Linked DNA regions of Rattus norvegicus. The protein of the gene in region 5 binds, or shares a complex with, the protein of the main gene of each other region. Links are inferred from orthologs where the notes say so. Each region holds a gene or a part of one and is shown on either strand. Other genes may lie near its edges.

Region 1 (3,438 bases), on a different chromosome or scaffold from region 5:
GGCAGAGTCTCGGCTCTCTTGGGTTTCAGAGTCAAACGTTTCTTGCCTAGAGAGGCCTCGACCTGTCCCACTGCGGTGGTTTTGGTGTGTGGCTGAGGAAGAACGGTGTTGGGATTTTTTGACTGGTTCCAGACAAGGTTCTTCTTCAGCTTGGGAAGCAGACCGGGGAGCAGAGCGATCAGTCCTCTGATCACCTTGAGAACCCTGTGGCAAAGGGACACACATGAGGGCATCAGCTGAGGAACTAACATGTCTTGGGAGCAGCATCGTGTAAGTGTGTCTGTCTGTCTGTCTGAAGTACCAAAACCCGAAATGAAGCCCAGCCCTTCACTCCTTTGACATACTCAGTGGCATGACTTAAGCTGGACTAGTGTTCCCATAACATTTCATTTCAGTGAAGGGGCAAGAAGGGTGACTTTTAGTCTTTTGTGATTCTGATACTGATACGGGTATCTTATAACCATAGTCTTAACTAATCTGCTTGAACAGATTAAAATTCATTAAGTTGGAGGATATACAGAGGACATATACTATCCCAGAGCCTTCGCAGAGGGATGGCTGAGGTATGTTCACAGCTCTTTGTTTAGGCACACAATTCATACTGGACTGATAGAACTTGGTCAGCTGGCACTTGGGCTTCTTGGTGAGCAAACAGTAGCAGATCAAGCATGATGTCCCTTCACTGGACTTGAGTCTCAGGGGATCAGCTGAGACAGCCTACATTCTCTATGAAGACCATAAAAGGAAGTGCTCTTACCTGTGAATTAGAGGCAAGGGTGGGGCTCAGAGGTAAAGTTGAGGTGGCTAAAGTCCGGCTAAGGAGAGGGTTGGGGAGGTTACTGCTGGGAGGGTGGGTGGCCTTCCAGTACGCCTCCAGATAGTCGGCGAGATGCTCACAAGCATCCTCAAGTTGGTTCTCATCCAAGATCACATCAAATGACTCCTGCTGAGGTAAGCATTTCAGATAGCACATTAATGCAATGCAGGACCAAGTCTGTCTTTTCCTCAAACCCGTAAACAGAAGAGAGGCCTTGCCCATTGTATTTGTTATTGCCCTGATATTTCCTTTTCCATTGGCTCTTTTAGCCTGTGTGTGTGTGTGTGTGTGTTTCCTCAAATCCTTAATTAACACTGAGTGGTTAACTGCTCAAGAACGGACGGCTGTCAGCATGGTCGGTGAGGGCAATGCAGGGGAGTTACTGTCAGTCGTAAAAAGTTGATATTGTGCTAGAAAACATGAACAATCTAATCAGTTTAGAAGGGTGCTTGGTCTTGAGACAGGTTGTAGAAAGCTCTGGAAGCAAATGAGGCAAGATTAGGTCATGCATATTGGCAGAAATAGTCCAAACTTAACATTTTTGTGTAGGGAGAGATCAGTGAGAGATGAGGTCCTTTACTTTTGAGGATTTAAAATTGTTGATCAAGAAATGTAATATACAATTATGAATTTGGCTGATTTAAAGTATCTTCTGAAATTGCTGTACTTGAATGAATACTAGATCGGAACTATAGTCCCAAAGTATAATATGTAAAAGTAGGAATGTGTTCCAAACTTACTGTTTAAAAATTTGGTTTGGGCTTCCTGTCCTGGCCACCATCTGGGAGCAGCAGCCATGACCCTGTGCTAACTCATGACTGTAGGCCTCAACAAGGGCCACAAAGTGACCAAAAATGTCAGCAACCTGAGACACAGCCAGCGCCATGGGCGCCTCACCAAGCACACCAAGTTCGTGCGGGATATGGTCCGGGAGGTGTCAGCTTTGAGCCCTACGAGCAAGCAGGGTGTCACAGAGTTGCTCAAAGTGTCCAAGGACAAGCACCACTCAAGTTCATCAAGAGCAGGGTGGGTGTGCACATCTGTGCCAAGAGAAAGCAGGAGGAGCTGAGTAACGTGCTGGCAGCTGTGAGGAAGGCTGCGGCAAAGAAGGATTAATGACCCCTCCCTCAATAAAAGATCGTTCTTACAGTTTGAAAGAATATGGCTTTGGGGCTAGTGAGATAACTCACTGGGAGAAGTGCTTGCTGTGCACTTGAACCTCTAGAACCCATGCCAAAGCTAGATGCATAGCGTCGAGTTTTAGTAATCCCAGCACTTGTACAAGAATACAGGGTACAGACAAGAGAGTCCTGGAAATTAGCAAGCCAGCTAGCCTGTTGTATACTCAAGCCAGCACCAAGACGCCTGTCTCAAGACGGAAGCTCAGGGCCAGACCCATGCTATCCTCCGACCTCAGTGTGTGCTGCAGAAGGCGCGCTCCCACTGCCGTTCTTGTACGTGAAACTCACTTTCTCGGACAACCTGTTGCATGTTTCTAGAAGTGGGTGAGACCCAGACTCCGAAGAAGTCCCATCTTACAAACCACCATCCTTTAACAGAAAGTGAGGGCTGCATGGGGTGTTTGTGGTGTTTTCGGAAGGGCGACCATTACCTGGTCTGCACGTATTCAAGGCGCACTATCACACAGGCGCTGGCATACTTCCTTAGAGTGAATGCCATTGTAAGTGAGGAGGAGCCTCTCCCTCCAGATGTAAGCACCCTTTCTACACTGGAGGTCTAACCCCTAGACTGTTGGGACCGTGTAGATTACTTACCGGGGGACACTGGGCCAGTTTATCGGCTGCCACCATCTGGACATTGAGGTGCTTTGCTTGAGACTTTCCTCGAGATTTTATTAACCTTTGTAAAACCTGTAAAAGGTATGGGTTTATAACAGGAACATCTGTACTTGGGTGAGCTACACAGTGCATTATGGACTACTTTCTACTTGGCCCTGGATGATTAGCATGTATCATTGAGAAAGTACAACATAGAGATTAACCCCAAAATTAACGTTTCCATAAATCTCTTGCAGACTTAAGCACTAGTATAAAGCTGATGGCTGTCCTTTCTCGCCTAACAGTTCTCAAAAATTCCTGCCTTATCAACTCTTTATATAGATACATATATATAAATATGTATATATATCATGAACCCCAAATGGCCATTGATTTCAGGAAATATTTCTAAAAATCTTAGCACTGTTAATTCATTTTAAAGTAAAAATCACTTTTTAAGACATCTGAAATATTAGCTTCTATATCCAATATGCTATAATGTGCATTTTTTTGATATTTGTAAGGAGGCCATTGCAGAGATACACAGCTAAATAAAGGGTTTGCCAGCTTCCTCATCAGAGAGCAAGTGACATTCTTCAGTACTAAACTGAAGTCCAGCAAACGGATTGCTACACAAACTGTGGCCGTGAGGACTCGGGCGGGCTACATGGAACAGCTTAACGTATTCCTGCTCTGTTGAAGCTGCTGGACCTCTCCTCACACGACTTGTAAGATCACTCGTGACTTCTCTATGAACCACATGTTTACGCACTTCACTGCTTAGCACTGCTTTGCTGGCAGCAGATGCTTCTTTCGAAGTCTGACTGGCTGCTTAAGGAAAGG
Region 2 (4,076 bases), about 130 Mb from region 5:
AATTAGCAACTAATTAATGTTACAGTATATTAGTGGCATGGTCTTCCTCTTCTGAAGATGGAAACTTCTCATTTTATTTTATTTTATTTTTGCTGGAAAAAAAACTGCCAACAAAACAAATAAGTTCCTAATGATATTCTGAGAAATTTATAAATAGAAGCAAAATAATTGACCTTTAATAATTGCTACAATCTTTGGATTCCGTTCTTATGAACTTGATTTTTTTTCCCAGATGATCTGAGCTTTTATCTTATAAATACTGCACTTAATTTTTTTTCATGCAAGCAAAGCAAATGGCACTGTTTTTTCGAAGAGATTGATGCCACTTTTTTCCCACAGATTTTATTCTGAAACCTAACATCAAGTACAAATGTCAACTACCCTTCCTCCAAAGATAGAATTACTAACTTTACAAATAAGTAATTGCAGAAGCAGGAAGGTTTCCAGAACGTTTTTAATACTATGATAAAGACACTGACTACAAAGCCCATTCTTAGTCCATAAAGCAACACTGCATATAATATGGAAATATTTTCATACTCCCATTGTTTGAAACAACACACATCCTTTCAAAGAAAAGGAATCGTGGCTTCCTAATTCCCATCTTAAATGCCTTCCTGATCTCCTTCATGTCTTTAACACATATCTGACCAGGAAAATTGAGTTACTTAATTTTGGGAAAACATTTATTGCATATGTTCTTATAAGAAGGATTTTTACATTCGGATTTTACTATGACATGCTGAATAATACTGTTTGTCTGGATTTTTTTGTTTGTTTGTGTTTTGTTTTCCTTAATGGAAGGAGGCATCCTTCCCAATTAGTAGCAATATTGGCAAATCAATTTAAAACAGCACTAAAAATGTGCATTCCGAATAAGTCAAGAATGTGGCTTATTAAATGCCACAACTTATTTGACACAAAATGCAAGAGAGGCAACCGAGTTCTTATGTAATAGGCCGAGTCAAAAGCACTAAAATATAAATAAGTGAAAGTGCGGTTTCTTAATAAGACTGGATGATTTTTTGTAGCATCTTAAGGGAATTCTTAGACTTCTCGTGTTTAAAATTAAACAGTTGGAACCTTCTGCCAATTAAACGAAGCTCTACAGATGGCTTTTACCCTTTTGCTTCACGACAAAAAGGATATGCGATCGTTTTTATGGAAGATTATCTAAAGAGAACATTACCGTAAATCCATGCCATAAATATTAGACACCCCCTTTCTCCTGGCTGGAATATGCACTAGATGCTTGCGCTGACACCTAACGTGATGGATGTTCTAGGCCAAATCTTAAGTAATCGCTGTCGGGTTCCAGCTAGCATAGATGTACTTCTAGTGTACCCCCAAAACTCCAGGGTTCAGCTCGCTGCCAACAAAGGACAGCAAGTGATTCCCCGCGGCATAAAAGCCAGGAAGGCTACCTTGGGCTTTGTTTTTGTTATGTAAAATGCATTAAAGTGACTCACCCACTTAAGACTACCTACTCTGAGCAGCTTTAGAGTACCTTCAAGAACCAAAATAAATGCTTTCCCAGAATGCCAGATAAGCTATTCAGCGCATTTAAAAATATGTATATGTGCCACTGACTCTGATTCCTTCTTGCACCCCGAGAGAGCAGAGCGGAGAATGGTAGCATTGCATTCCCTTCCTGCCGTGTGACTATAGCTACCTTTCAACACTCTATTTCTAGAATAGCAACGGTTTCTTTCTCTCTCTTTTTGAAAGTTATTTTAGAAATGTTAAAAATAAGGGAAAATTGCAGGAGACTGGGGAAACAGTCCCACCCTCAAAGAATAGAGGTTCTATTCATTCTAAGAACTGGAACCGCGTGTCTGTCGGCTCTCAGATGTTTCAAATAAAGGGTTGGGTAGGTTGGCTTGGGTGGCTCTTGTACCTGTGAGCGCTGGGGTGGACAGCTCGCTCAGCTGCCGGGAGCGAACTGGCTAAATACCAGGGAAGCTGTCAGGCGCTCCTAGTAATTTGGGATCTAAATGAGTTTGGACAGCAGAGAAATTAGCATCCTAGAGGCCAAGTACAGAAGAAGCGCAAGCTACCGGGTCTGCCTGAAATTAACTCTGAAATACCTAACGGAAACTCAACTTTTCATCTGGCTGGGTTTGGTGGGAGCTGGGTATGCCTACAAAGTTTTTCCCCCAAGTCCGGCTACAGTCTTCAGCTTGGAGCATCCTCGGAGACCAGGTTGAGACGCCGCCGACGGCTGGCTGACGTTCCCTGGGACGGTGCGGCCCGCCGAGGCTCGGCACGCCGGTTCCGAGCTCACTCCGGCGGCCAGCAGCGCATCACCGGGCGGCCCAGCCTCCGAGGCTCCCAGCCGCGCTCCCCGCCCCCACGGGCAGCCCGCCCGGCATCGAGCGGGGACCCCCGCCTCCAGCCCCACCCCGGGCCCGCCGACTTACGTGACGGGCGAAGGGAAGGGCTCCTCGCTCGAGGGGCCGATCAGCCAAGATTGGAAAAGTGTCAGAGTCAAGGCCAGCAGGCAGCCAGCAGCCATCTTCGCGATCGAAGATCAGTGCCCTCCCTGCCGGCCCGGAGGCGGCGGAGCTGCACGCGGCGAGGGACTGAGCCGGGGCGCCGACGTCTGCCGGAGGGCGCGTGGAGAGAGGCGGGCAGGGCAGGGCACGGGCGGGCCGGCCGGGCGGGGCCGGGCGGACTCTCTAGCGCGTGGCTGCCGCTCCGTGCCACGGCTGCCTCGCCTGCGCCGCCATCAAGGGCGACTGTGGAAACGGAGCTCGGCCAGCCTGCCGGCGCCCGCGCGCTCTGGCTCCCCGCGCTCGCCTCCCTGATTTATCTGCGGTCGCCGAGGAGAGGGCGGGGGCGGGGCGGGGGCGGAGGGGGCGGCGCGGGGACGCGGCGGCTGCGGGGATGGGGGTGGCCGGAGCGGGGATCGGGCTGCCTTCCCCGGGCGGATCTCGGGGAGGCGGCTGTGGGTGGGCAGCGGGAGGGCCGGGCGTCAGAGCCGGGCGGGGACGGCCCGGGCGCAGCCCTCCATACAAGGCAGAGAGGAACTCCCAAAGTCGCCGTCGCCTGCTCCCGCCGCGGGGCGTGCGGAGGCCGAGCGGACCCAGCCCGAAGGTGCTCCCCGAGGGACCACCGGCAGCCTGCGAGCATCCACCGTTCGCGCAGGCTCCAGCCGAGCACTTTGCTCGCCTCCTCCGGGTTATTTTTTGCACAATCTGGCTGGGGCCCCCAAACCCTTCTCCCAGGCGTAGAATCCGCTGCCTGCCTAAGAATCATGAAGTGATTTGACAACACATGTAGGAGGGGTTTGTGGTGCTTTTGAAAGCGCCGCTGTGAACTCAACCAGGTGGCCCTGGTTTTCACGGTGTGCCAGGGGTTAGGGCCTTTGGTAGGGCTCTAATGGTGCCAGCGGCCCTACGCCAACGTACAAGTAGACTTGGTTTACCTGGCGGGGACAGAGCCTCAGAGGCGGGCTGGGAATGGATGAAGAACAGCTGGCAGATGCTGTAAGATGTCTTTCCTACTGTTCCAAAGGAATGAAGACTAGAGGGACCAGTACTCCTTGCAGGGTGGTTAGTGTTGCAACCGGGCTTTGGTAACATTTTAGCAAGCCACCTTCCAACTGGTTGAAAAATTCCCTGTCCTGACCACTGGACTGCTTTGTGAACAAGGTTGTAGCCTGATGAATTCACTCTGTCAGCGTGAACACAGAACCGAGGCTAACCTCAGAAACAGGTGGCCCTCTGCAAACTACATCTGAAATATGGAGGAAGGGCTGGTTTTACCTCCACCCTGGGGAGAAGCAGGGCGAGGGAGGGTCTTCTGGAAAGAGCAAAACAAAACAAAACAATCTTTTCCTGCCTGGCTCAGGCCACCTTGGAGGAAAGACTTAGTGGGCCGCTGTGAGAAAGACTTCATGGAACAGCCCGAATTCTTAAGCTGCTTGCAGAAGGATATGAAAACACTTTGACGCGAAATCAGAGAATACAGTTCGTGATGAGAAAAAAAGACCCTCACACTAAGGCGAAGAAGCTGTCATGGTTTTGTGGCTGTAAGGTGGTTAATCACCCCTCCCTCGGGCCCAAGGGTTCATA
Region 3 (3,513 bases), on a different chromosome or scaffold from region 5:
TCTCACATAGTTGTTTATCTGCACGGGAGGGATGGAGGGAGCAGGATGGCAGTGTCTCTCCTGCTTTTGTGTGGAACCACACTTGAGCCAACATGTACTCCCTGCTTCCCTTGCTCGCTGGGTGGGTTCAGCTGGGTCTGGAGGACTGGAGATGGGTTTTCCATCTCGGGCGCAGGCCCTCCCCGTCCCTCAGAGGGAGGCAAGTATATGAATTCAAGTTGTAGCTGCTCTGTGCAGCCCTCTGGCCTGAGGCGAGCAGCGGGAAGCTCTGTCACTTCCTCATTTCTCAGAGTGCCTTGTGTACCGCCAACTGCCTCCTCCAGTCATCAGGCCTGGGGTGCCCCCGTGTGCCTACACATACAGGGCCTCTTGCTGCAGTTGCTGGTCTCCCCCAATTCACGAATCCTCAGAGAATGAGCCAGGGAACCTCACCTCTGCAGATTTACAGAGCCACTTGAGAGAACAGAGGAGAGACACCCAAGGGACTGTGCGTTATGTTTTATTGGAGATGACAATGAGGTGGGGCGGGTTCTTAATGGAGCATGCTCTGTAGGTCAAACGCTAGAGCCATAAGGCAAGGGTAGCCAGGTGACAGCCTCTGGGGCTGTTCATTGTGTCTGTTCCTCTCATCTAACCCTAACTTAACAAGTGGCAGCTACGAGCCAGGGAGCCCCTATCTTGCAGGAGGCATGGAGGGAAGGAACAGAAATGACAGACGCAAGGGCAAAGAATGAGGAAAGCAAGGGGGGTGGGGGGGCTGGAAGCTGCTCCCCCTTCCCCGCAGTCCAGGCCGGCTTTGGGCTTGACTGTGCCCCAGTTCCCTAGTCTTGCCAGATGCTAAGCTTCCTGGTTTGGTGAGGAGGGCCGTTCTCTAACAGAGCTACAGCCATGAGCTGTCTGTCCTGCCTCACCTGCACTGCTCCTGTCTTAGGTGTAAGTGCCCACCCCAGCTGATGGGATAGAAGTGCCGCCATGTTGAGCTCTGATTGCTTCATTTCTAATGTGCGGCAGTGACGTGAACGGAGTTCCTTTGCTTAGGGTTTACGCCTGCTCAGGAACCATGTCTCTTCCTCATGCTACATTGCCTGCACTCACACCCTCCTGCTGTTTAGAGGGGTATCCATTCTGGCTGGAAGACCCCTGCTAAGTGATCCCGGCCTGAGATCATTGCTCACCGGGGCAGCTTCTTATGCAGGGGAAGGTGCCAAGGATGCAGAACACAGCTAGTACCTGGATGAGAACCTACGGGGTCACTGTGCCCAGGAGGTGAGGGGGCCCCTTGCTTCTCCCAGAACCTTGGGACCACAGTCAGCCCTGGACCTAGGGCTGGGCAGAGGGTTGTGTGAGCTGAACCTAGAGGCAGCCTAACGCCAATCTAACTCCAACCTGCCTGAGGTGGACACCCCAGCCGCTGTGTCTGTGCCTGCCAGGGTAGGGCAGGAGGTGGTCAGTAGCTGTCCTTAGGCCAAGGCCGGTTACGCTGCCAGTTCCGGTCATTGTGGTCATGCTCCGAGTCCTGGGCTAGGAGCCGGTCTTGGGGGTCATGCCCGTTAGCACTGGGTAGCCCCGAGGTGTGTTGACGGTGAGGCTGGTACAGGTCCTGGTAGGCATCTGCATAGTCCTCCTCCAGATGGCGGGAGCTGCGCTGTGAAGATCCGGTCCAGGCCTGGCGGGAGCTCTCACTGGCCTCATCCGAGGGCATCAAACTGTCCCGCTCCAGGGGTGAATGCTCCTCACCTCGCTCCCCCAGCAGCTGCTGGTTCTGGGGGACATACAATAGCTCTAAGTAAGGTAAGGGAGGTCTAGCCTTTGTTCCTCCCAGGACTCTGGCAGGGAGGTGGGGTTCTTCCTCCCTTAGTCTTGATTCTTAGGTTTTTAAAAGAGTGAACAGTGCAAGGAAGGAGTAAGCTGGGGCATTTTCCAGGCCAGAGGCAGAAAGCTGGACTGTTAGCTCCTTACAAATTCAGGCTCTTCCTTAAAAAGTGCCTGGGAGAAAGGTGTGGGGTGTTTCCTTGGACCCTAGGAGGACCAGCTCTAATCTCAGTCACCATGCTGTCCAGACAGGAAGTCCCTTGGCCTGTGTCCCTTGGCTTCACATACAGACTGAGAATAATCCTCGGTCAAGCCAGGAGCTTTGCCCAGTAGAAATGGTTACCTGGGGCTGGAGAGATGGCTCAGTGGTTAAGAGCACTGACTGCTCTTCCAGAGGTCCTTAGTTCAAATCCCAGCAACCACATGGTGGCTCACAACCATCTGTAATGAGATCTGATGCCCTCTTCTTGTGTGTCTAAAGACACCTACAGTGTACTTATATATATAATAATAAATCTTTAAAAAAAAAAAAAAAAGAAATGGCTACCTGAAGTCCAGGGATGGCACTGGGCGGACCCAGCATCCCGGGGCCCGGTGCTGGGTGGTGGGTAGCGCGCCAGTAAACCTCTAGGTATTCAGCTAGGTGCTCACAGGCGTCGTCCAGCTGGTTCTCATCCAGAATCACATCAAATGACTCCTGGAGAGAGAGCACACAGCGAGTTTGGCTTCTCTGCAGCAATGATGCTGAGCTCTAACCTCTGGCATAGGCCGTGGGTGCAGCCGACCCAAGCACTCACAGGTGGGCACTGAACCAGCTTATCATATGCCATCATCTGTACAGTGAGGTGCTTCATCTGGGACTTCCCCCTGGAGCGGATCAGTCGCTGCAGTACCTGGAGGAGAAGGGCAGGGATGGGCGTGGCGTTTCTCGTGGGCTCTGGTGAGATCTGAGCCTGGAAGGAACTAGGCTCAATTCCCACCTTGTGCTATGAATGACATTTATACTGGGTGAGGAGGACTCGGGGTGTTAAGGAATGGCAGGAAAAGGAACCGGTCACTCCAGGGAAGACCCAGGCAGAGGTGCACTGTATTCTAGGGGACCCCAGTGACCCCAGTTCACTTACCTTTGGCGAGGACACTTTGACGAAGACGATGATGGGGGCCAGTGAGGTCTTGGCTAGCTGTGCTGGGTGGTTGATGGTGTCAGCATCCAACACCACTAGCTGCAGGGATTTGGCCAGCTCGAATATGCGCTCAATCTCACTCTGCACCTCAGCTGAGGAAGGGGAGCAGCTCACCAGGGGCTCTGGCCACTGCTAACTGCCAGGGCTTCCAGAGCTGCTACACGGCGGCGAATGGAACGGACCAGCAAGCCTGGGCGGGCAGTGGACTGGGCAAGGGAGGAGGGCAGCACTTGGGACAGGTGGTGGGGCGTGGGCAAGACCACAAGGAGTTCAAGGTTTTCACTAGCATCAAGCGGGCAGAGAGCCAGGGACAAAGGACTCCTCACCAATGCTGGAGCGGGCAGAAGAGCGCTCGATGATGGTCCTCTTGCCAGGATTGTTGAGCACAGAGCGCTTGGCCAGTGAGAGGTCAGCCGTGACGCGGGTGATGGAGATCCTGGGTGTGAGGAACACACACACACACACACACACACACGCCATCTAAGTCACGGACTCCCCACACCAGCTCTCTAATTCT
Region 4 (4,264 bases), on a different chromosome or scaffold from region 5:
AACAAGAGTGGAATCAGAAAGACGCCTGCCTTCCCAGTCCACCTCCTGCCGGGGCTGGGGCTGTATACGGTCAGCCTAGCTGGGGACTCTCCGCTCTGCCCCACCCCCACTTCAGCTTCTCCTCCTAGAGGTAACCAGTCTGAAAGAAAAGAGGGTCTTCCACCTCACGGACAGTGCCCAGACAACAGCCACCATGAGGAACCGTGCAAGAGAGCCTGAGATGCACACCCAGGAATCCCCGAATCAAGTGGAAGGCTGGGAAGCAGAAAGCCCGAGGAATAGAAGGCTCGTTAGGCAGCAAAGCTAATTAAGATGCTGGGCAGGGCTGCGGCAGCCTCGGGGGGAAGGGAGAGGCTGCCTGCAGCGCTGGGGGGCAGAGGAAGAGAGGGGGACGTCCTCTCCCCTGCATCTGGAGCTGAGGGGGCAGAGTGTGCTATGCCCCCAGAGAGAGGAGAAAAGGCAACCCAGGGCCAGGCTTGGTTTCTCCCGAGCCCAGAGTGGGGAGGGAAAGGCATTCTGCTCTTGAAGACCCAAAGTCATGTTTCTGAGGAAGGAAAAGAGGGAGTCTCTGAGAAGTAAACATCCAACCTGTGGCCTGGTGCCTGGGGAGATTGTTCAGCTTCCCACTCTCACCTCCACCCTAGCAGAACTTTCTCTCAACCTCCATCCTGGCAATCAGTTTTTATATTCCTCCCAAAGGCAGGATCCACTCTACTCCCACGCCAGCTGCTACTGCCCATGCCCCATCCCCATGGTACTAACCCTGCTCCATCAATCTCAAAGGCCCTTAGGCCCCACCTCAAATTGAGACTAGGACATATAGTTCTGCCAGTACCAGGTAAGATGGTTACTCTCTCTTAGTGGGCTCTAGCTGGGGTGGGGGGATCCTGTCTGACCTCTCACACGCCAAAGTTATTGAGCATCTCTCTCTGTCTCTGTCTCTCTCCTTCACACACACACACACACACACACACACACACACACACACACACACATACACACACACACACACACACACACACACACACACACAAGCTCATGTTCTTGGCCCTTGCCCAGTACAGAATGGGCAGAATGCCCAAAAGCTCCTGCCCCCAGCCTCTATCCCAGACTTTTTTAGACCAAAGAACCTAGGGGCACCTCAACCACACTGTAGGCTCTGACTCCTAAGACCTGGTAACAAGGAAGCCGATTAGTGACATAGTGACTCACACCTGTAATTTTCTACTCTTTGGAGGTAGAGGCAGGAGGATCAGAAGTTCAAGGCCAGCCCGAACTATATAAGATCCTATCACACACACACACACACACACACACACACACACACACACACACACACGGACTGAACATTCTATGGTCCTCTTTCCTTCTTTGAAACTAGACATACAGCTAAACTAGTGTTGATGCTCTCCACAGACCTAAGAGGATTCTTCAGTGAACAACCTCAGACTCTTTCACACCACTACCCCACCCCAACTGGGCAAAGGGAGTGGCCTTCAGAGGGACAGGGGACAGCTGAAAGGAAGGCATCAGTCAGCTGCCTCCCAGGCTCCAAGGGGCCTGGGGTGGAGAAACAAAGTATTTTTAGGTCTGACCTGACCCCCCATACACACCCATCAACCACATCATGTTGCTTACAGTTGCTCCAGGCTGGCCACAGCAATGCAAGGGTTAATGCTATCCTTGGAGAAGGACAAGTCCTAGAGAAATCCCCTGGCATGGCTACCACATACCCTGCTGGTCATTCTATGGGGACCTTGTATGCCCAAGAATGCCCCTACCTAGGGGTAACCGAAGCACATAGGAAAGTGAGTGTGCCAGAAGGCAGCGCCCCTCCCCCAGGTAAAACAGCGTCCTCCACTCCAACACAGTGAGTTGGCACCCATCCAACTTTCCAAACTTTGGAGGCTCCCACCCCTTGGGGTAAGGGGAGGGGTAAGTTAATGTGGGTGTTGGGAGTAGGGAAACATCCAAGGGAGAGATGGAGACCAGGTGACTAGGGGAAGGCCACCCAGAGCTGATCCCTTTCCCACCTTAGAAAGCCAACGCCTGAGCCTTCGAAGGCCTGTTGGCAACGCCCTCTGACCATCGTCTCTGCCTTTTCCCAGTACTACCCCCGCCCCACCCACACCCACTAGCGCCCCTAAACGTGCTCTGCGTCGCCCCCCTCGCCTGATTCGCTCTCCAGGCTCCCTCCAACTCCGCTTCTCAAGGCCTGGATTCCCCCCAACCCCCATCAGCATCCCCGCTGTCAGCCTGCTGGAGCCGGTACCCCAGCAGCAGGGACCTGGACGCGGGGGAGACCTGGAGGCGAGGTTGACAGGCATTCCACCCGCCTCCGCTCGCTCCGCAGCACCGCAGCCCGACTCGGGCCAACAGTCCATCGATCATTAACCCTCGGGAATGGGGGGTCGCGCAGACGTCCCTCTCCCATCTACGCGGGGCATATAACCCTTTCCTTCCCGGGATTTTCCGAGCCGACCCCAGGAGCGGTCCTTTCCCTCGAGCCTGGCACCTCGTCTCACCTGTGGGCTGGGGTCGAAGACCTCCATAGGGATCTCTTGGGAAGGTGGGTAAGGGCCCCGGGACATGCCGCTCTTCTGGACCATGGAGAGGATCCTCCGGTCCGGCCGCCCTCCCGGCACAGCCGGGGGCCCTCAGCGCATGGGAGAGGCCGTCCGAGCCGAGAGCAGCGCGGCGTCGCGCAGCCAGCACCGGGTGCAGTCGCCCAGCTGCACGCTCGCCGCCTTGCTGCCCTCCCGGCTCGCGCTCTGCTCTCTGCGGCCGCCGCCGCCGCCGCCGCCGCCGCCGCCTCCGCCCCTGAAGGCTCAGCATCTCCCCCCGCCCCTCCCTCGCTCCCGCCCCGCGCCGCGGCCCCGCCCCTCGAGCCCCTCAGCCCGCTGCGCGCAGACAATGGCGGGGCGGCGGAGCCCGGCTGGCCTCCCGAAGGCGGAGGGGCTCGACCGCTGTCCTCTGATTAGTCTGGGATGAGGTCTGCCAGCAGGAGACCAAGGGGAAACTGGCCTTGAGGCTGGGATGGAGGTGGGGGGCGTTTACCAGTGTATGCCAAGCGTTGATGGGGGTGAAGAGCAGGTTGGTTCGACTGGTACGCTTTCCTTTCTGTCCCAAACTACTCTCTCAGCTGGTCTCCCTGAGCGACTCCAGCTTGGGCCACCGGAACTTCCAGATCCCTGTGATCCTGGGACCTGGCTTTAACCCCTTTCTCCCCAGTGTGAGGCCCAGGCCGCCATGAAACTAGCTGAGTAGACCTCCCTCTCCAACTGACTCTAGGACTGCTGCCTGGAGGCTGAGGATGGATGATGGGGTGAGTGTCCAAAGGAGAAGGCCAACAGGGATAGTAGAAATGCTGTCCAGGGACCCAGGAATTACTTCGGCCTCATCAATAACTAAGGTCCCCTAGGCTTTTCCAAAAGGGCAGGAGTAAGCCCCTGTTGCTTCTTAAAGAAAGGAAAGAGGAGGAAGAATGAAGATGGAGGAGGGGCTATTCAAAACTATATTCCATGACTATTGACCTAGGCCTGTCTCTCCTTTATCCTTGTCCAAGGAACGAATGTCCCAGAACTGTGGCTAGAAGTAGGATCCTAGCAACTCCGGGCCAATTTGGCTCAGGCTCAGCTGGTTATTGGATCCTAAAAGGGTCGTCCTCAAGCCAAGCAGTGGTAGGGCACGCATTTAATCCCAACACTGTGGAGACAGGGTCAGGATGATCTCTGTGAATTCCAGGCCAGCCTTCTTTACATAAGTGACCCTCAGGACAGCCTGGGCTACAGAGAGAAGCCCTGTCTGGAATAAACCAGTCATTCTTTGTTTCCTTTACTACTATGTTGCTAACACTATGGTGTCTTTGCGGGTTGAAATTAATAAGAAGCCGGGAAGCGGTGTGATGGTGAACAGCACTGCTGGGGGCTAGAGGTCAGCCTAGATCTCATCTTAAGTTTGAAGAGAGACAAAACATGAATGAACAAACAAACATGCCCCACAACAAAAAAGATGGCTGGGGTTCTGGGTGTGCTTAATGAGCAATGTGGGGGCCATCTGTGGCAAGAGGGCACGCCAGTTCCTCCTCCTCCACCCAGCTCGCTGTTCAGAGAGCAGAGAGATAAGTAAGATGAAGCCTTGCCAAGGTCCAGTGCCCTAAAATAAAGACTATTTTCTGTGTTCTGCTTGCCTGGAGCCCGTGGGCTGTTTAGACTCCTCACTGTGGACTCTGAGAGGTGATGGTTGATTCTCTAATCACATCATC
Region 5 (3,513 bases):
TGCCCTCCCTCAGCACTTCTCTAGTTTATACACTGACAGCCAATCTACTTGGAAAGGAGCCAGGCTTTCTTCTCTGCACCAAATTCTCTTGCTTTCTGGGCCCCGTTTCTCCCCGAAAGAGCTTGAATTCACATACCGCTTCCACCAGGCTGCTGGCGCTGCCGTGGAACTGTCTGCCTGGAGCTCCAGCCTGGCTGGGCACGGTGAGGGAGACGGGCCGGGCTCTCCGGGCCATGCTGCTGCCCCCACTACAGGCTGTGGTCTCCTCTGACCAGGAGCTGCAGTGGATGGACGGGAAGCTGCTGTTGAGTTTCTCACTGGACTCCGCCCCCTCCAGCCGCAGGGTAGGGATGGGCTGTAGGGGCCTGCCCCGGCTGCCTGGAGTGACAGGGGGCGTGGGGCGTGGCCTGGGGAACGTGGAAGGAGAATGGCTTCTCTGCAGGAGGGGGCTCAAGCCTGCCACTGCCAATGCCTGTGGACATAAGAAACAGGAGTTTACTAGGAGGCTTCGCCCCTCTGCCTTCTGAGGAACTTGGGAGCCAATATTTTTCCAGTGAATTCGACTTAGAATTCTGGAAGTCAAGATTCCGTCTACCTCACTGGTGTAACATTTAATATCCAGATATATTTTTAACGAGCATTTTCTTCGGACATAATAGCAGTTCCCTTTAGCTTCAGGACCTTACAACTGAGTACAGTGGGGACCATCCCACGTTTAGACTGGCTCTATCAGCCGTAGTAGCATCTTGATTCGGTCACTCTGGCTTTTCCCACTTGAACAGAAAGGACAATGATGATGTGTGGGTACACAGAGCTGCAGTTCGCCAGTGCCCTCTCTACAAACTGACCTGTAGGTCCGTGTGATGTCAAGTGAAATAAGGCATTAGAGGGACGGTATTCATCATGGAGAGCTAGGAATACCAGTCGCCATTATTTTAACTTTTACAGTGAGACAAGGCAGTTGAAAACACTCTTGTCATTCTCAATAGAGTGTGTTTTGAACTCTTTATTCTCGTTAGACTGCGTCATGATTAAAGGATTTCCATGCCTGCCTTCTGCCCCCGAATGCTCCTGAGACTCCTGAGGGTAGGTCTGAATTGCCACTGTCACTGTGACTCTCTCGGCACTGTCCAGATGGGATATGTTTGTTGAAAAGAATGCTACCACATGGTGGGAATGTCCATCTCTGGGAGACAGAGAGGATGGGTTGGAGGTGGCAGAAAGACACACAGGGGAAGCTAGTTTACTCCCTATGGGCATGAAGACAGGTGGGCAAACCAACCTGGGAAAACCATTTTAAAAAGCACACAGCGACCCTGCCTTTCTTCCTCCTTCCCAGCTCATGAGGGCCCCCAGCTTCTGGGTACCTGGAAATCTAAAGGAAGCATAACCCTGTGTGCATTAGGTTGGAAAGTTTATGACTATGATCCCTATTTAGACAGTGCTTTGGCTTTGAGCTGAAGTGATATCAGTTTAGAAAACACATATGTGTGTACATGCACACACACATGCATACCCATGTACACACAAATCCTACTTTTTTTTTTGCCAGTCTAGCCTAGTCTAAAACTCTCTATCCTTAGCCTCTTGGATGCTGTGATTACAGGCATGGCCACCACGCCCAGCATTTCCTTCTGTTGGCCATGTTACTGACAGGTGCTGTCGTCATATCTGCATTGCAGTGGACAGATAGACTGCTCTGACATTCAAGGTCTAGGTCCCATCAATCCCCATGTATATTGTATCCAGTTGGTACACGCAGCATCAGGCAGTGTGGGAGTCGGGGGGGGGGTATCTGTGCGCTGTAAGGAGAAAGCTCACGAGCCCTGAGGCTTCCAGTTAGACTCACGAGAGGAATCCTCACTGTGGTTTCATAGGGACCTGCCTATGTGTAGAGAAGTAGTCGGCCCTATTCAGGGGCTGGTGCACAGAGGTCTGAGAGGGGAAGACAGAAAAGTATCTGGGGAGCTACTGTCATCCTAGGTTGTGCGGCTGTGACCTGTTCACAGACGTTAATACCTGGTGATGAACCAGATGCAAGGGCAAGGCTGTCTTCTGAGAGATGTCTCCCCCTTGATCCTTTTGTCGCTTTAGACATTCCAGATGGAAGGAGGCCCTTCGACCTGCAAAAGTAGCAGAGAACTGGAATCAGGACACAGGTGATGGCACCGACCCGTGACAGCTCTGCGTAATTTAGACCACAATGTCTACCAGGGGCCATGCATTAAAGGCTCAATCCCCAGTTTGTAGAGTTGAAAGGCTGGCTGAATGTTTAAAAGGTGGAGCCTCTTGGGAGGCTTTCTACCGTGGGGATGTGTCTTTGAAAGTGAACTCGGGACACTGATCTCTTTCCTGCCTTTATTTATGGAGGCAAAGGACACATTTCCTGTCATAATGTGCCTCCTTGTCACAGGTCCCAAAGTAATACACCAAGCTTCCAAATCTGTGAGTTCGTTAGTCTTTCTCGTGTTTTTTTAAGCTGGCCATCTTAAGTGTTTTATTACAGTGACAGAAAGCTGACTAAGAGAGGCTCACTGCTGACGTACAGGGGTCAGTGCTGTCAGCCCCAAGCTCTTTATATTGTCAGAGGCATCTGAGTAGCCACTGTCTATGTCCCCTTCCGACAGACTCTGTCTTTGGAGAGCTATTCTGTCACTTCGCATGTCTAGCAGGCCATCTCTAGAGGTTGTCTGAGTGAGGCCCAAATAAGTTCTCCGTTGTCACTTGCTGTCTGACCATTGCCATCTTAGAGGTGACTATTGTCTACGTTGGCAGAGCAAGGTGTGGGTTTACCTAGAGAGGCAGAGCGAAGGAAACTCCTCTTCGGAGATGGCTGGATCTCCCTCTTGTCCTCCTCTAGACAGGTCAGTTGTCGGTTTTCATCGTCCTGGTAGGAGAGTCTGGAATGGAGAAGCATCAACACTTGTTCCTGAAGGCCCGCCCAGAAGTGTCAGGACAGCTGCTGTCCCTAGAAAGCACTTTCTACTTTCCTCTGTGAAGTCAGTGCCGATTCGTGTCCCTACATACTGGTGTGGGCAGTCGGTGTCAGGCTATGCTAAGAACCTGTGTCTGGTCTCAGGCATCCTAGTCATCTCTTAGGCCTGCTTGCTGGGTGTCCCAGCTCTTGATACATACCCAGTGCATGAGCCCTTGTAGTTGATTTTTTGTTTGTTTTTCCCACTGGGCTGAGGATTGGAATTCAAAGCCTCATACATGCTTGATAAACACCCGACCGCTGAACTCCTATCCTAGACTCTAGCCTTCCTTGAGCTTCTGATCTCAGCCAGTGGAGGCTTTCTTGGGTTTAGGGAAAGTTGGAGAAAGGATTCTAGGCCCATACAACATTCTCTTAGAAGGACCTTCCACACCTGCCTTCACATAGGTCTATACTGTTCACTATAGACATTCTCAGTGTTACTACATCCCCTATCCCTCCAATTCTCCCCTGAGTGGCTTTCTCTTCACACAAGCCACTGCCTGAAGTGGCCATGCAGTCATCCAGCCATCAGATAG

What was found.
Region 1: Cacna1c (region 5) and Cacnb2 share a complex: the UniProt entries of both Homo sapiens proteins name them as parts of the calcium channel complex. The link is inferred for Rattus norvegicus from reciprocal best matches to the Homo sapiens genes CACNA1C and CACNB2.
Region 2: the proteins of Cacna1c (region 5) and Cacna2d1 are in contact, whole or in part, in a cryo-EM structure (PDB 8WEA), measured with the Homo sapiens proteins. The link is inferred for Rattus norvegicus from reciprocal best matches to the Homo sapiens genes CACNA1C and CACNA2D1. Residues at the interface, in NP_955630.3 of Homo sapiens: Phe147, Pro148, Glu149, Asp150, Asp151, Ser152, Asn153, Ala154, Asn678, Lys1090, Gly1091, Asn1092, Tyr1093, Ile1094, Tyr1096, Gly1099, Val1101, Pro1104, Ile1106, Arg1109, Tyr1156; in NP_001353796.1 of Homo sapiens: Thr170, Asp171, Tyr173, Ile233, Leu235, Gly262, Ser263, Ser265, Lys270, Thr274, Ala327, Lys328, Gly329, Ile330, Glu366, Gln391, His392, Tyr394, Ile416, Gly417.
Region 3: Cacna1c (region 5) and Cacnb3 share a complex: the UniProt entries of both Homo sapiens proteins name them as parts of the calcium channel complex. The link is inferred for Rattus norvegicus from reciprocal best matches to the Homo sapiens genes CACNA1C and CACNB3.
Region 4: Cacna1c (region 5) and Cacnb1 share a complex: the UniProt entries of both Homo sapiens proteins name them as parts of the calcium channel complex. The link is inferred for Rattus norvegicus from reciprocal best matches to the Homo sapiens genes CACNA1C and CACNB1.

Annotation. Positions count from the first base shown.
Region 1 is NC_086035.1:82,812,213-82,815,650, reverse strand, and holds part of Cacnb2 (voltage-dependent L-type calcium channel subunit beta-2), read right to left. Parts: intron 2,689-3,438; coding exon 2,593-2,688; intron 947-2,592; coding exon 758-946; intron 205-757; coding exon 1-204. UniProt on the Homo sapiens protein: Beta subunit of voltage-dependent calcium channels which contributes to the function of the calcium channel by increasing peak calcium current. Plays a role in shifting voltage dependencies of activation and inactivation of the channel.
Region 2 is NC_086022.1:20,327,348-20,331,423, forward strand, and holds the start of Cacna2d1 (voltage-dependent calcium channel subunit alpha-2/delta-1 isoform 1 precursor), read right to left. Parts: upstream 2,801-4,076; 5' UTR 2,516-2,800; coding exon 2,421-2,515; intron 1-2,420. UniProt on the Homo sapiens protein: The alpha-2/delta subunit of voltage-dependent calcium channels regulates calcium current density and activation/inactivation kinetics of the calcium channel. Plays an important role in excitation-contraction coupling.
Region 3 is NC_086025.1:131,673,043-131,676,555, reverse strand, and holds the end of Cacnb3 (voltage-dependent L-type calcium channel subunit beta-3), read right to left. Parts: intron 3,433-3,513; coding exon 3,323-3,432; intron 3,203-3,322; coding exon of another isoform or gene 3,129-3,202; exon of another isoform or gene 3,089-3,128; coding exon 2,937-3,088; intron 2,706-2,936; coding exon 2,610-2,705; intron 2,510-2,609; coding exon 2,360-2,509; intron 1,763-2,359; coding exon 1,448-1,762; 3' UTR 471-1,447; downstream 1-470. UniProt on the Homo sapiens protein: Regulatory subunit of the voltage-gated calcium channel that gives rise to L-type calcium currents. Increases CACNA1B peak calcium current and shifts the voltage dependencies of channel activation and inactivation.
Region 4 is NC_086028.1:83,512,346-83,516,609, forward strand, and holds the start of Cacnb1 (voltage-dependent L-type calcium channel subunit beta-1), read right to left. Parts: upstream 2,802-4,264; 5' UTR 2,610-2,801; coding exon 2,526-2,609; exon of another isoform or gene 2,164-2,525; intron 1-2,163. UniProt on the Homo sapiens protein: Regulatory subunit of L-type calcium channels. Regulates the activity of L-type calcium channels that contain CACNA1A as pore-forming subunit.
Region 5 is NC_086022.1:153,439,738-153,443,250, forward strand, and holds part of Cacna1c (voltage-dependent L-type calcium channel subunit alpha-1C), read right to left. Parts: exon of another isoform or gene 2,901-3,513; coding exon 2,794-2,900; exon of another isoform or gene 2,124-2,793; coding exon 2,020-2,123; exon of another isoform or gene 1,020-2,019; intron 473-1,019; coding exon 137-472; intron 1-136. UniProt on the Homo sapiens protein: Pore-forming, alpha-1C subunit of the voltage-gated calcium channel that gives rise to L-type calcium currents. Mediates influx of calcium ions into the cytoplasm, and thereby triggers calcium release from the sarcoplasm.